Oryza sativa Japonica Group: one gene and its partners. The protein of the gene in region 3 interacts with the protein of the main gene of each other region in a pairwise test. Links are inferred from orthologs where the notes say so. Each region holds a gene or a part of one and is shown on either strand. Other genes may lie near its edges. The genes, in order: NINJA1, transcription factor MTB1 and protein TIFY 10b.

Region 1 (3,751 bases), on a different chromosome or scaffold from region 3:
AGGCAGGCGACACCGCGTGCACGCCCTCCGCCTCCCCAATCCGTCCCGTCTCCTCGCCCGCCGCCCTCGACTCCCGTCTCCTCGCCTGCCGCTGGCGCCGATCTCCATCCTGCTAGCAGAGGTGGCGCCGGCGTCCTCCTCCTGCTCCCGCCGCATTCGCTCACCGGTGAGCATCCTAATCCATCCCATCCGGCCTCGGCCTCGGCCTCGAATTTCGTCTCCTCACCCGCCGCTTGCGCCGATCCCCATCCTGCGAGCAGAGGTGGCGCCCGGCGTCCTCCTTCTAGCTTCCACCGCATCGTCGCTCGCCGGTGAGCATCCCTCCCTACCCACACCTCATCAGGTATTCTGCTTTATCCCTCAAAAAGTTTGGGGGTTCAACCGAAACAGGGTTAGATCTGCCTCTGCCCAGCTCCACCTACTTTCAAGTTGTTAATTTTGATTTCCGTTTTTAGCATATGTAATTTGGTTACTGAATCTCATCCAAACACCCTTATAGAACGAAAAATGTAAGCTCACATAATTTTTACTCATCCAAACTCACGTAAATTTCTTTAAGAAGAATCTAGACCACAAACTACCCATAGTCACACAAAATATCTTTTTATCAACTTATATTCTTATAAGTAATTTTTATTCCACAAAATTTCTAAAGGACATACGGTGACACTTGGCATTAATCTAATTTAACTTTTTTTTCTTTGTCAGGTTATAAATTTTCTAAGACATTTGTGCCACTTGGCATGAATCTAATTTAACATTCTTTCTTTATCAGGTTATAAATTGAAACCATTGAACGTACTCCCAACTTCCCAATTAGTTTTGCTAGTAAATATAAACAAACATTAGTTTTGTGCACACAATTCACGTGCTCCCAACTTCCCAAGTCCACATCACCCTTCACCCATTCCTCCACTTGAGCCAAAACACCACGTTATCCTAAAACCCCAACTGACAGATAAGCCCCACCCGACAGTCCATCCACGGGCCCACTCCATCCGCGCGGGCCCACTGTCCAGTGACACAGTGAACACAATCGTCATATTTGCACCGTTTGGGTAGGGTGGGGATGGGGTGTGTGCTAGCAATCCCGGTGGATCGAGTGGTAGGCGAAATTACAAAATTACCCTCGCTGTTTTGATGGCTCTGTCTCGTGGTCGTGCGTGAGTTATGCTTCTTGAGTTTGCCCTTGCCTACCCACCCGCCTCCGCCGATCCCCATTCCAACCCGCGACTGCGAGCGAGGCGAGTAGGGCGGCTTCGTCGTTCGTCCTGCTGCTTCCGCCGCATCCATCCTGGTGAGCACATCCTCTTCCGCCGCCGTCGCCTGCGGCCGATCCCCATCCATCACGCGCGAGCTCGTCCTGGTCCTGCTGCCGTCGCCTGCAGCCGATCCCCATCCATCACGCGCGAGCTCGTCCTGGTCCTGCTGCTTCCGCAGCATCCGTTACGCGCATCCTCTTTCCCATCTCTCCCTGTGTCTACCTACGAACTTATTTTTCTCGAATTTGTGCGTTAACCCTAGCTTCTGTTGTAGAAATCTGCCTTAAACCTTAATACTAGTAACAGTTTGATGGGAGCGTTAACCCTAGCTTCTGTTGTAGAAATCTGCCTTAAACCTTAATACTAGTAACAGTTTGATGGCTCCCAAAAAGGTTTCCCATGCTAGATCCGCCACTGTAGTATTACGACTATAAGTTTTTTTTGTTTTCACAGCAACTTAAAGAAATAAGCACTGCGCAACACAGTAGAATAGCCATAAAACAAGCCTTAGTGCCATGGTTTGGAGCATTTTGCTGCTGGCGTGAGAAGATGTTTCCATTCTGTTGGTTCAGCATTTTAGCTGGCGTTTAGCTAGATGTGCAACCTAAGGACGTCTGGTTTAGCAAGTTTAATGTCCAAGTTATTATTCTATAGTTAGAAATAAAGGTCTGTTGATTAAATTACAGTAGTTTAGCAAGTTTAATCACACCTTAATACTAGTAACAGTTTGATGGCTCCCAAAAAGGTTTCCCATGCTAGATCCGCCACTGTAGTATTACGACTATAAGTTTTTTTTTGTTTTCACAGCAACTTAAAGAAATAAGCACTGCGCAACACAGTAGAATAGCCATAAAACGAGCCTTAGTGCCATGGTTTGGAGCATTTTGCTGCTGGCGTGAGAAGATGTTTCCATTCTGTTGGTTCAGCATTTTAGCTGGCGTTTGGCTAGATGTGCAACCTAAGGATGTCTGGTTTAGCAAATTTAATGTCCAAGTTATTATTCTATAGTTAGAAATAAAGGTCTGTTGATTAAATTATAGTAGTTTAGCAAGTTTAATCACCAATTAGGGTTAGATTCAATCGACTGGTTTGGGGCAAAGTGTTTACTTTATTGTAGATCTTGTTGCTTAAATTACATCGGCCGGAGAGGTTCCGACTTAACATGCTGTAGCATCGATGTAGTGTATTCCAAGCCTCTCTCTCTCTCTAATTAACCCATCCACATTATCTAAAAAAAATTAACCCATCCAACTTTTTGGAGATTTCTTTAAAAAAAATTAACCCATCCAACTTTTTGGAGATTTCTTTGGTGGGTGGTCAGGCGGTAATAACAGTTTGTTTCCAAAAGTTTTGGAGATTCAGCGGATACACATGAAACATGTTTGCCATGCTTAGTCTCTTACCAAAGGCTTTTTTTTTCTTGCAGATATGACTTGTTGAGTGGAAAGAATCAATATAGTACAATCTATTTTCTTCTCAATGTGTAGAAGAAACAGTCTGTAACCATACATACTTATTAATACGACTAGTGAAATCTAGACATGGACGATGAGAATGGCCTTGAGCTTAGCTTGGGTCTCTCTTTGGGTGGGACATCAGGAAAGTCTAAGGCTAGAGATGCTCCTCTAGAACCTAAAGCAGAGCCTCAAGTGGAAGAGAGCAGTAGCAAAGGTGTTTCACAAACTCCTGAGGCTCCTTTTGTGCATTACTATCAAACAAATGCAGAGAACCAAGAACACAGTAGCAAGCAGAGACACAGCCCTGCTGCACCACCGTTTGGGAACTTTTGGGGACAGCCAGGGAGTTCTTCTGTTCCTGTGGCAGATGGATCCAATGAACAGAAGCCAGTCTCTAGTAAACGGAAATTACTTTCTGAGGAGATAAGTTTTCAGAAGAAACCTAATACAGCTGCTGAGCAACCTGATGCATTTAGTAAGAGCTCTGACGGTGGTGTAAAAAACGCTCCTATTTCAATTAGCACGGATGATGGTTCAACAGGTGAAAACGAGGATGTTGCAGAATCAGAAGCAGAAGGCTCAAACTCTTGGTTGGTTGCACAGCGTGAAGACAGTGCTAAGGGATCTGTTGTCAATAGAGGATCTGACAGAAAACGATCCAGTGATGATGCTGCAGTTGGTTTTCAAGGAAAGAGGCAGCCAAGTTTCTCAGGAAGTGAATCCAGCTCTGGAAAATTGCCACAAGGAAATCCTTTGTCATTGCAAGCATCAAATGTTGTTGCTGTGCCATATCAAGTCCCGTCTCAGGTTTCAGCTCCTCCCAGTATTACCAATGCATCAAATTTCACTCCAGTATGTACAGTGCAGTTGAGGCCACCTACAAACAATGGACTAGCTGTTACAATGGGCAGTACCTCTCAGGTAGCTTTTGGTTATCCAGCTGTCCAGCTACCAACACTTGAAACAAGCTCTTCATGGGCTTTTGGTGCTCCACCTCAGGCTATGTCCTCTTTTACTGCAAAAGACAAAGTT
Region 2 (3,751 bases), on a different chromosome or scaffold from region 3:
ACATAAGATTGAAGAATCCATCTAATTAGGATACAAATATTAATAAACCAAAGTCATTCTAGTAAAAAAAACTACATTATAAATCACTTATCTCCTCTTGTGGCTTAACCTGATTAACAAATAGACCAATCCCTCCTCAACCTCCGTCTCCTCGAATGATCAAAGAGCACGTGGCCACTATATGAGCAAACCAATTGTCCTGAGCTGACAAGAGTCCAAGGCTTGAATTGAGCTAGTTTCTCCACCCCCACGAGCCACGGATCCATCGGCTCAGGTTCCAGTCCCACCGGGGGTAGAGAAAGCAAGGCACCCTCTTCGTCCTCCTCTCACACCTTCCCTCTTCACACATCACGCGTTGTCTCCTCCTCCCCTTCCCCTTCCTCAAAATCTCCTCAACACGCCGCCTTAGCCTCAGCCCCAGCTCCTCAGCCCTGCGCATGCTTCGATCTTGGTGAATTCAGGGAGCTCGTGAGGTTACAATTAAGGGGAATAAACACTAGTTTGGCTTGCTCATTCAACACTTTGCAGCAGGGTCCAATTGCATCTAAATTATCTGCAGTGGTCAATTCTACTCATTAATTCATTTATGTCCCTGCCTGAATGAATATCACAAATACCATATCCATCGGTGAAAGAAAACATGCGGACCCAAACAAATATAAACAATGGCTTGAAGCGAGCCGGCTCTCCCATACGCCACAAAGCGGCTCGATATCCTATATCTGCAACATCGCTACTTTTAGGAATGTTCGTAAATATCTTATACATGCTAGTGCCAATGGGAGTATGATGGTGTGTTGGAATAGGGGAACCAGCCCCATGATTTTGAAATTCAACAGACTAAATTTGTTGAAACTCATGAGATATAAATGTTACCATTTCTAGCTCCTCAATTATTAACAAGCGAATAAAGAATCCATTAATAATAATAATAATAACCATATTATAAATCAATTATCCCCTATTTTAACTTAACCCGATTAACAAATCAACCCATATGCTTCCCACTCTCCATCGACTCGACTTGAATGCTCGTAGAGCACGCAACCACACTGTGTATGAACAAACCACCAGCGCGCAAAGCCGAGAAGAGCCCATGGGTCGGCGATCGAGCCGGCTCCCCCGCCCCTAACGAGCCGCGGACCGGCTCGGCTCGGCTCGGCTCGGGATCCAATCCCACCGGTGTAGAAAAGGCAAAGGCACCCTCGTTCTCCTTTCACACCTCTCCCCCCCTCTTCTTCTCTCTCTCCACATCACAAGTCGCCTTCCTCCTCCGCCCCCGAAATCCCCTCGCGAACCAGAGAAACCTGAGGCACCACCATCACCACCACCGCCTCCGCCTCCGCCTCCGCCTCCTGCGCGCGCGGCGAATTCGGGGGACCCTCGCGCTCGCGTGGGGTGTGGGTGGGGGGAGATCCGGGCGTCGCCGTCGCCGGGGGGGGGGGAGGGTGCTCGGATTCAGCCAGCGGCGGGTGGGGGGGCCCGCCTCTTTCTTCTTGGGGGGGCGCGGAGGAGACCCCGCCCGTCCTGGATTCCGTGGCCGCGGCGCCGATTCGGGCGCGGGAGCCCCAGCACGGTGAGATTTTCCCCCGCTGCCTTGCTGCACTGTGAGAATTGCCGTATCTATACTGTACTAGTTTGTTGTTGTTGTTGTTGTTGATGATGTGGCTGCTCGCTGTTGCGGAAACAGTGGAATGGATGGGGGTTTGGGATGGTTGGGGTTTGACGAGCTGGGCGGGTTGAGGCGGGAGGAGGGTTTGCTTAGGGTGGAATCTGATTGGCCGCGATCGGCACGGGTGTTTTGGCTGTATCCTATAGCGTGAAAAAGATAGGAAAATTACTGGTTGTATCACTTTTTGCTGGGTCAGGTTTGGATAGAATTCAATCGTGTTTTCCCTCCATGTCTTTTATCCGTTGAAATGGTGCCATATGAAATGTCAGGATTAGTTATAAATTCTGGTTGCACACTTTGTGGACGATTTCTGTTATTTGAGTGGGTTATTTAGCGATTATGTGTCCGCGAATATAATCTGTACTGACGTAAGAGCAGTGAATTTTTTTTATCACTCATCACAGTGTGTTTTTAGCTGGATGATAACTGAGAGTTTTGTTCCTGTTATTCTGAGTTCAGCACCCGATTATTCATAAGTCCAAATGATATTTTGTTGCTTGTGTATTTGTCTAAAACTGTGCTTGTGGCGTCCAGCCAGTCAATTCTTGTGAGTATTACGCATTTTTAGTGCTATATTTGGCCTGATATATATACTATCTTGAGTAGGTATTATGGTGATGAAGATGGAGGCTGATGAGGATGGTGCCAATGGCGGAACTGGTGGGACATGGACTGACGAGGACCGAGCGCTCACCGCCAGTGTGCTTGGAACGGATGCTTTTGCTTACTTGACAAAAGGAGGTGGTGCCATATCCGAGGGCCTTGTTGCTGCATCTTTGCCAGTGGACTTGCAAAATAGACTCCAGGAGCTTGTCGAATCAGATCGTCCTGGTGCTGGTTGGAACTATGCCATATTCTGGCAGCTGTCGCGCACAAAGTCCGGTGACCTTGTCCTTGGATGGGGGGATGGCTCTTGCCGTGAGCCTCATGATGGTGAGATGGGACCTGCTGCTTCTGCAGGTAGTGACGAGGCCAAACAGAGGATGCGCAAGCGTGTGCTGCAGCGATTGCACTCAGCATTCGGAGGTGTTGACGAGGAGGATTATGCCCCAGGCATTGATCAGGTGACAGACACAGAGATGTTTTTTCTAGCATCTATGTACTTTGCATTTCCACGCCGTGCTGGTGGCCCTGGTCAAGTATTTGCAGCAGGCGTGCCCCTGTGGATTCCCAACACTGAACGTAACGTATTTCCTGCCAATTACTGTTACCGGGGATACCTTGCAAATGCTGCAGGATTTAGAACTATTGTGCTAGTTCCATTTGAGACCGGTGTACTTGAACTGGGTTCGATGCAACAGGTAGCGGAGAGTTCTGACACTCTCCAGACCATAAGATCTGTGTTTGCTGGGGCAATTGGCAATAAAGCTGGAGTTCAGAGACACGAGGGGAGTGGCCCTACAGATAAGTCACCAGGTTTGGCAAAGATTTTTGGGAAGGACCTTAACCTTGGCCGGCCTTCAGCAGGCCCAGGAACTGGCGTGTCAGAGGCAGATGAAAGGTCGTGGGAACAAAGGACTGGTGGTGGGAGCTCATTGCTCCCCAATGTCCAAAGAGGTTTGCAGAATTTCACTTGGAGTCAGGCTCGGGGCCTGAATTCTCATCAGCAGAAGTTTGGCAACGGTATATTGATTGTGAGCAATGAAGCCACACCGCGCAACAATGGAGGAGTTGACAGCTCTACTGCAACACAGTTTCAGCTTCAGAAAGCACCACCACTTCAGAAACTACCACAGCTCCAGAAATCACATCAGCTAGTAAAGCCACAGCAACTAGTGAGTCAGCAACAGTTGCAGCCTCAAGCTCCCAGGCAAATAGATTTCAGTGCTGGGACCAGTTCCAAACCTGGTGTTTTGACTAAAAAACCAGCTGGTATTGATGGGGATGGTGCAGAGGTGGATGGCTTGTGTAAAGACGAAGGTCCGCCACCTGCATTAGAAGACCGGCGGCCTAGAAAGAGGGGAAGAAAGCCTGCAAACGGGAGGGAAGAGCCACTAAATCATGTTGAGGCCGAGCGCCAGAGGAGGGAGAAGCTCAACCAGCGATTCTATGCACTGAGAGCCGTTGTACCCAATATAT
Region 3 (3,751 bases):
ATTAAATTAAAGCCAACCCAAAGCTGCTGCTACTACTAAACCACTATCAAGAAATTCAAGACGGATCATGGATTCCCCCCCAGCCAGGTGTAACCGGGTCGGGTCAAACCCAAAACCAAAACCCGACCCGACCCGGATCCGACACGTCTCGCGCTCACCGCCTCGTGCTGCATGTACCGACCCGATCGATCGCGCACATGGGGGGCGCGGGCCCCACCCGCAATTAAGGAAAAGGGCGAAAAATCGCTATAAAATAAATCCGGAGAATATTTAAAAGAGGAGGGGGAGGGGAGCAGTCGCGGTGGGGCCCACCACCCCCTCGCTCCGCACACGAACCACGTGCGGAATCCGCGCATTTAGTACTCGCATCGTCCCCCCCAGCCCGCGAAATGATACCGAATTGAATAAAATAATATTTAAAAGAAGAAATCTGTTACTCCGTTCCAAAATACAGTTACTTGTAATAACAAAATATTCTTCTATAGTAAACCTATTTATCCATCAATATCCTTCTAACCCATCACAAAGTTCACAACCCTCGTCCATTTATTTCATTCATCTTATTTTTTATCTCAACAAATCATAATATTTCTCCAATAAATTTTACTTACTTTCTTAATACCTACTACTATGTCTAAAAAAAGATAAACTTTAGCTACGAATCTAGACACGCATATATTCGTAGCTTACATACGTGTCTAAATTCGTAGCTAGAATTGAATTTTTTTTAAGACGCTAGGGTACCATCTATCTATTTTATAATTATTTACTCCATCTGTCTCAGAATATAACAACCAATGATTGATGGTGTTCATCATCTATCTATTTTATAATTATTTACTCCATCTGTCTCAGAATATAACAACCAATGATTGATGGTGTTCATCATTGGTTGCTATATTATGAGACAGGGGGAGTATATTTCTAGAACAGATGTAACTCCCTTCGTTCTAAAACGTAGTACTCTTATTATGATATAATAACAAAGTTGGATAGAGATGAATCCAGTGGTAATAATTGAGATAAGGTAAAAGGTAATTTATAAGTAGTATTTTGGAACGAAGAGAGCAACTATTTTCTCCATTCCAAATTAAATTATGGGATAAACATATCGTAATAATACTATAAATTTAGACATATTTGTATTACTACAATATGTCACATTGTGTTAGATTAACTTATTCCAGTACGGAGTACTCCCTCCGTCCCAAAAAAAAAAGACACCCTGGCTTCCATGCCCAACGTTTGACCGTCCGTCTTATTTAAAAAAATTATGAAAAAAATTAAAAAGACAAGTCACACATAAAATATTAATAATATTTTTTTATTTAAAAGAATTATAAAAAAATTTCATACAAGACGGACAGTTAAAGTTGGACACGAAAATATATAGGGTTTGTTTTTTTTGGAGGGAGGAAGTAGGTAATTAGGAGAAGAAAAAAATGGGAAGAAAGAAAATCCGCGAGGTTAAATTGAATCGAATTGAGTGGTGACCAGAAACCGCAGCGGCTGCGTCGTCTCCGTCTCCTCTCCTTGCTTATAAACGCTCGCGCACGAGCCTCTCTCTCTCTAGCTCTCGCTCTCGCAGCTCAACCACTAGCAGCAGCGGCAGGAAGGCGAGAGGAGGAATCGGAGGTAGCTGGACGGCGGCGAGGCGACGACGAGCCGGGGTGGTGCAGCAAGAACGGCGCGGCGAGCGGCGGGGAGGAGAGATTGGATCGACGCCGGGTAGTTAGGAAGGGAGCTTGGAGAGATGGCGGCTTCCGCGAGGCCCGTCGGCGTCGGCGGGGAGAGGGCGACGAGCTTCGCCATGGCGTGCAGCCTGCTCAGCCGCTACGTCCGCCAGAACGGCGCCGCCGCCGCCGAGCTCGGCCTCGGCATCAGAGGTGAGGAGGAGAAGGGAAAAAAAAAAGAACTCATCCCTTTTTTTGTGGGTGTGCTTCGGCTTGGTTGGATCTTCATCTTCAGCTTCGGTTTCGTGTTGAGATCTGATCACAAGGTTTGGGGTTTTGGTTCGGTTCCAGGTGAGGGTGAGGCTCCGAGGGCGGCGCCGGCGACGATGAGCTTGCTGCCCGGGGAGGCGGAGAGGAAGAAGGAGACCATGGAGCTCTTCCCGCAGAGCGCCGGCTTTGGCCAGCAGGATGCCATCACCGCCGATTCTGCTGCTGATGCTAGGTATGGGGCCATGCCACTTGGTTCTCTGCTTCATTTTTGTGCAGTTCCTGCTCCTTAGGTGTATGTGTGTGTGTGTCCTAGTTCTTGGAATCACGCAGAGAAATGACAAATTTTGCAGTCTACAAAACTTAGCTGTAAGTGCCTCAATAGGTTGAAGCCACTGTTTTTGGTATCAAATCTAGTTGAGGGGAGAGAGGGTTATGAGTAAACATTTTGTTGTTTTTTGCTTTGGGTTCAGATACTAATTGGAATTAGGCAAGCAGAGTTACTAGGTCATTCAGACTTCAGGGAGTTGTTAATGGATCTATAAAAACTTTACCTATCTTTGTTAATAGAAAATTTTAACCCCAAACTTAGGGTTTTTTTTTTGTTTAAACTGGGGCACTGAAAACGTAGTTTCAAAAAGAACCCTTTTTATGCTTGCCGGTGAAAATAGAGTTAGTCAGATGGTGCAGAATTGGAGGGGTGATATACTGGTATCCCAGGTGTTCATAGTGTTCTCTGTGCAAATGAATTTCAGGGAACAAGAGCCTGAGAAGCGTCAGCTGACCATCTTCTATGGTGGGAAGGTGCTCGTGTTCAACGACTTCCCAGCCGACAAGGCAAAGGGCTTGATGCAGCTGGCTAGCAAGGGCAGCCCGGTGGCTCCTCAGAATGCCGCGGCACCTGCACCAGCAGCTGTTACAGACAACACCAAGGCCCCTATGGCCGTGCCGGCCCCGGTCAGTAGCTTGCCTACAGCTCAGGCCGATGCTCAGAAGCCTGCTCGCGCGAATGCTTCTGGTAATTACTCTGCCCTTTCTTGATGTTCATGTCTGTCGGGGTATTGAACGCATAACCAGTTGAATTTTGTTGTAGCAGTTATCAAGTGACCTCTTTTTTTCTGTGTAGATATGCCTATTGCTAGGAAGGCATCACTCCACAGGTTCCTTGAGAAGAGAAAGGATCGGTAAGTTGTTTTGCTGTGATGATTTGCATGATGTTTAAGTTCAGTATTTTGATCACTGCAGTTCATGGATCTAATATGCGCCTTTTGTTGTCACAGTCTTAATGCAAAGACGCCATACCAGGCTTCTCCTTCAGATGCAACCCCAGTCAAGAAGGAGCCTGAGAGCCAGCCATGGCTCGGACTAGGGCCGAACGCCGTCGTGAAGCCCATAGAACGCGGCCAATGAGGTTGCATGGAAACTTCACCAAAGCTCTTCAAAAATATATGAAATGCGCTTGCCGTTAGAGTACCAAATCATATATGTTCTCTCATACCCCATGTTTTAGTGTTTTTTCTTTAGTTCGTGCTTCTATGTTGTTCACTTGTCACATAGTTCTGAATGTAAAGGAAAAAGGTAGTAGCATTGACGACCAGTGCCGAGAGCCTGAGAGAAGTTTTGGCATGTTAACACATGGTGACTCTGAAAATGGCCATGCTAAGGTAAAAAGTTATTGCAAAGGAAACATATATGTATCTTCTGAAATTCTGATCATCTGGCTTTGTCCTTGGCTCTAGCCTTGCTCTATGCAAAGCAAAGTGATTGTAATGGATTCAGAATATAATTCATATTCCTATTGTTGATTTCTG

What was found.
Region 1: the proteins of protein TIFY 10b (region 3) and NINJA1 interact in binary tests that used the Arabidopsis thaliana proteins (3 or more experiments, as listed by UniProt). The link is inferred for Oryza sativa Japonica Group from reciprocal best matches to the Arabidopsis thaliana genes JAZ1 and NINJA.
Region 2: the proteins of protein TIFY 10b (region 3) and transcription factor MTB1 interact in binary tests that used the Arabidopsis thaliana proteins (3 or more experiments, as listed by UniProt). The link is inferred for Oryza sativa Japonica Group from reciprocal best matches to the Arabidopsis thaliana genes JAZ1 and AT1G01260.

What each region holds. Positions count from the first base shown.
Region 1 is NC_089039.1:27,978,022-27,981,772, forward strand, and holds the start of NINJA1 (protein NINJA homolog 1), read left to right. Parts: upstream 1-1,170; 5' UTR 1,171-1,297; exon of another isoform or gene 1,298-1,445; intron 1,446-2,688; 5' UTR 2,689-2,803; coding exon 2,804-3,751. UniProt on the Arabidopsis thaliana protein: Acts as a transcriptional repressor. Negative regulator of jasmonate responses. Connects the JAZ proteins and the non-JAZ protein TIFY8 with the TOPLESS corepressors.
Region 2 is NC_089035.1:7,506,960-7,510,710, reverse strand, and holds the start of transcription factor MTB1, read left to right. Parts: upstream 1-1,250; 5' UTR 1,251-1,576; intron 1,577-2,278; 5' UTR 2,279-2,283; coding exon 2,284-3,751.
Region 3 is NC_089041.1:25,571,589-25,575,339, forward strand, and holds the start of protein TIFY 10b, read left to right. Parts: upstream 1-1,495; 5' UTR 1,496-1,753; coding exon 1,754-1,886; intron 1,887-2,024; coding exon 2,025-2,175; intron 2,176-2,695; coding exon 2,696-2,958; intron 2,959-3,066; coding exon 3,067-3,124; intron 3,125-3,220; coding exon 3,221-3,350; 3' UTR 3,351-3,751.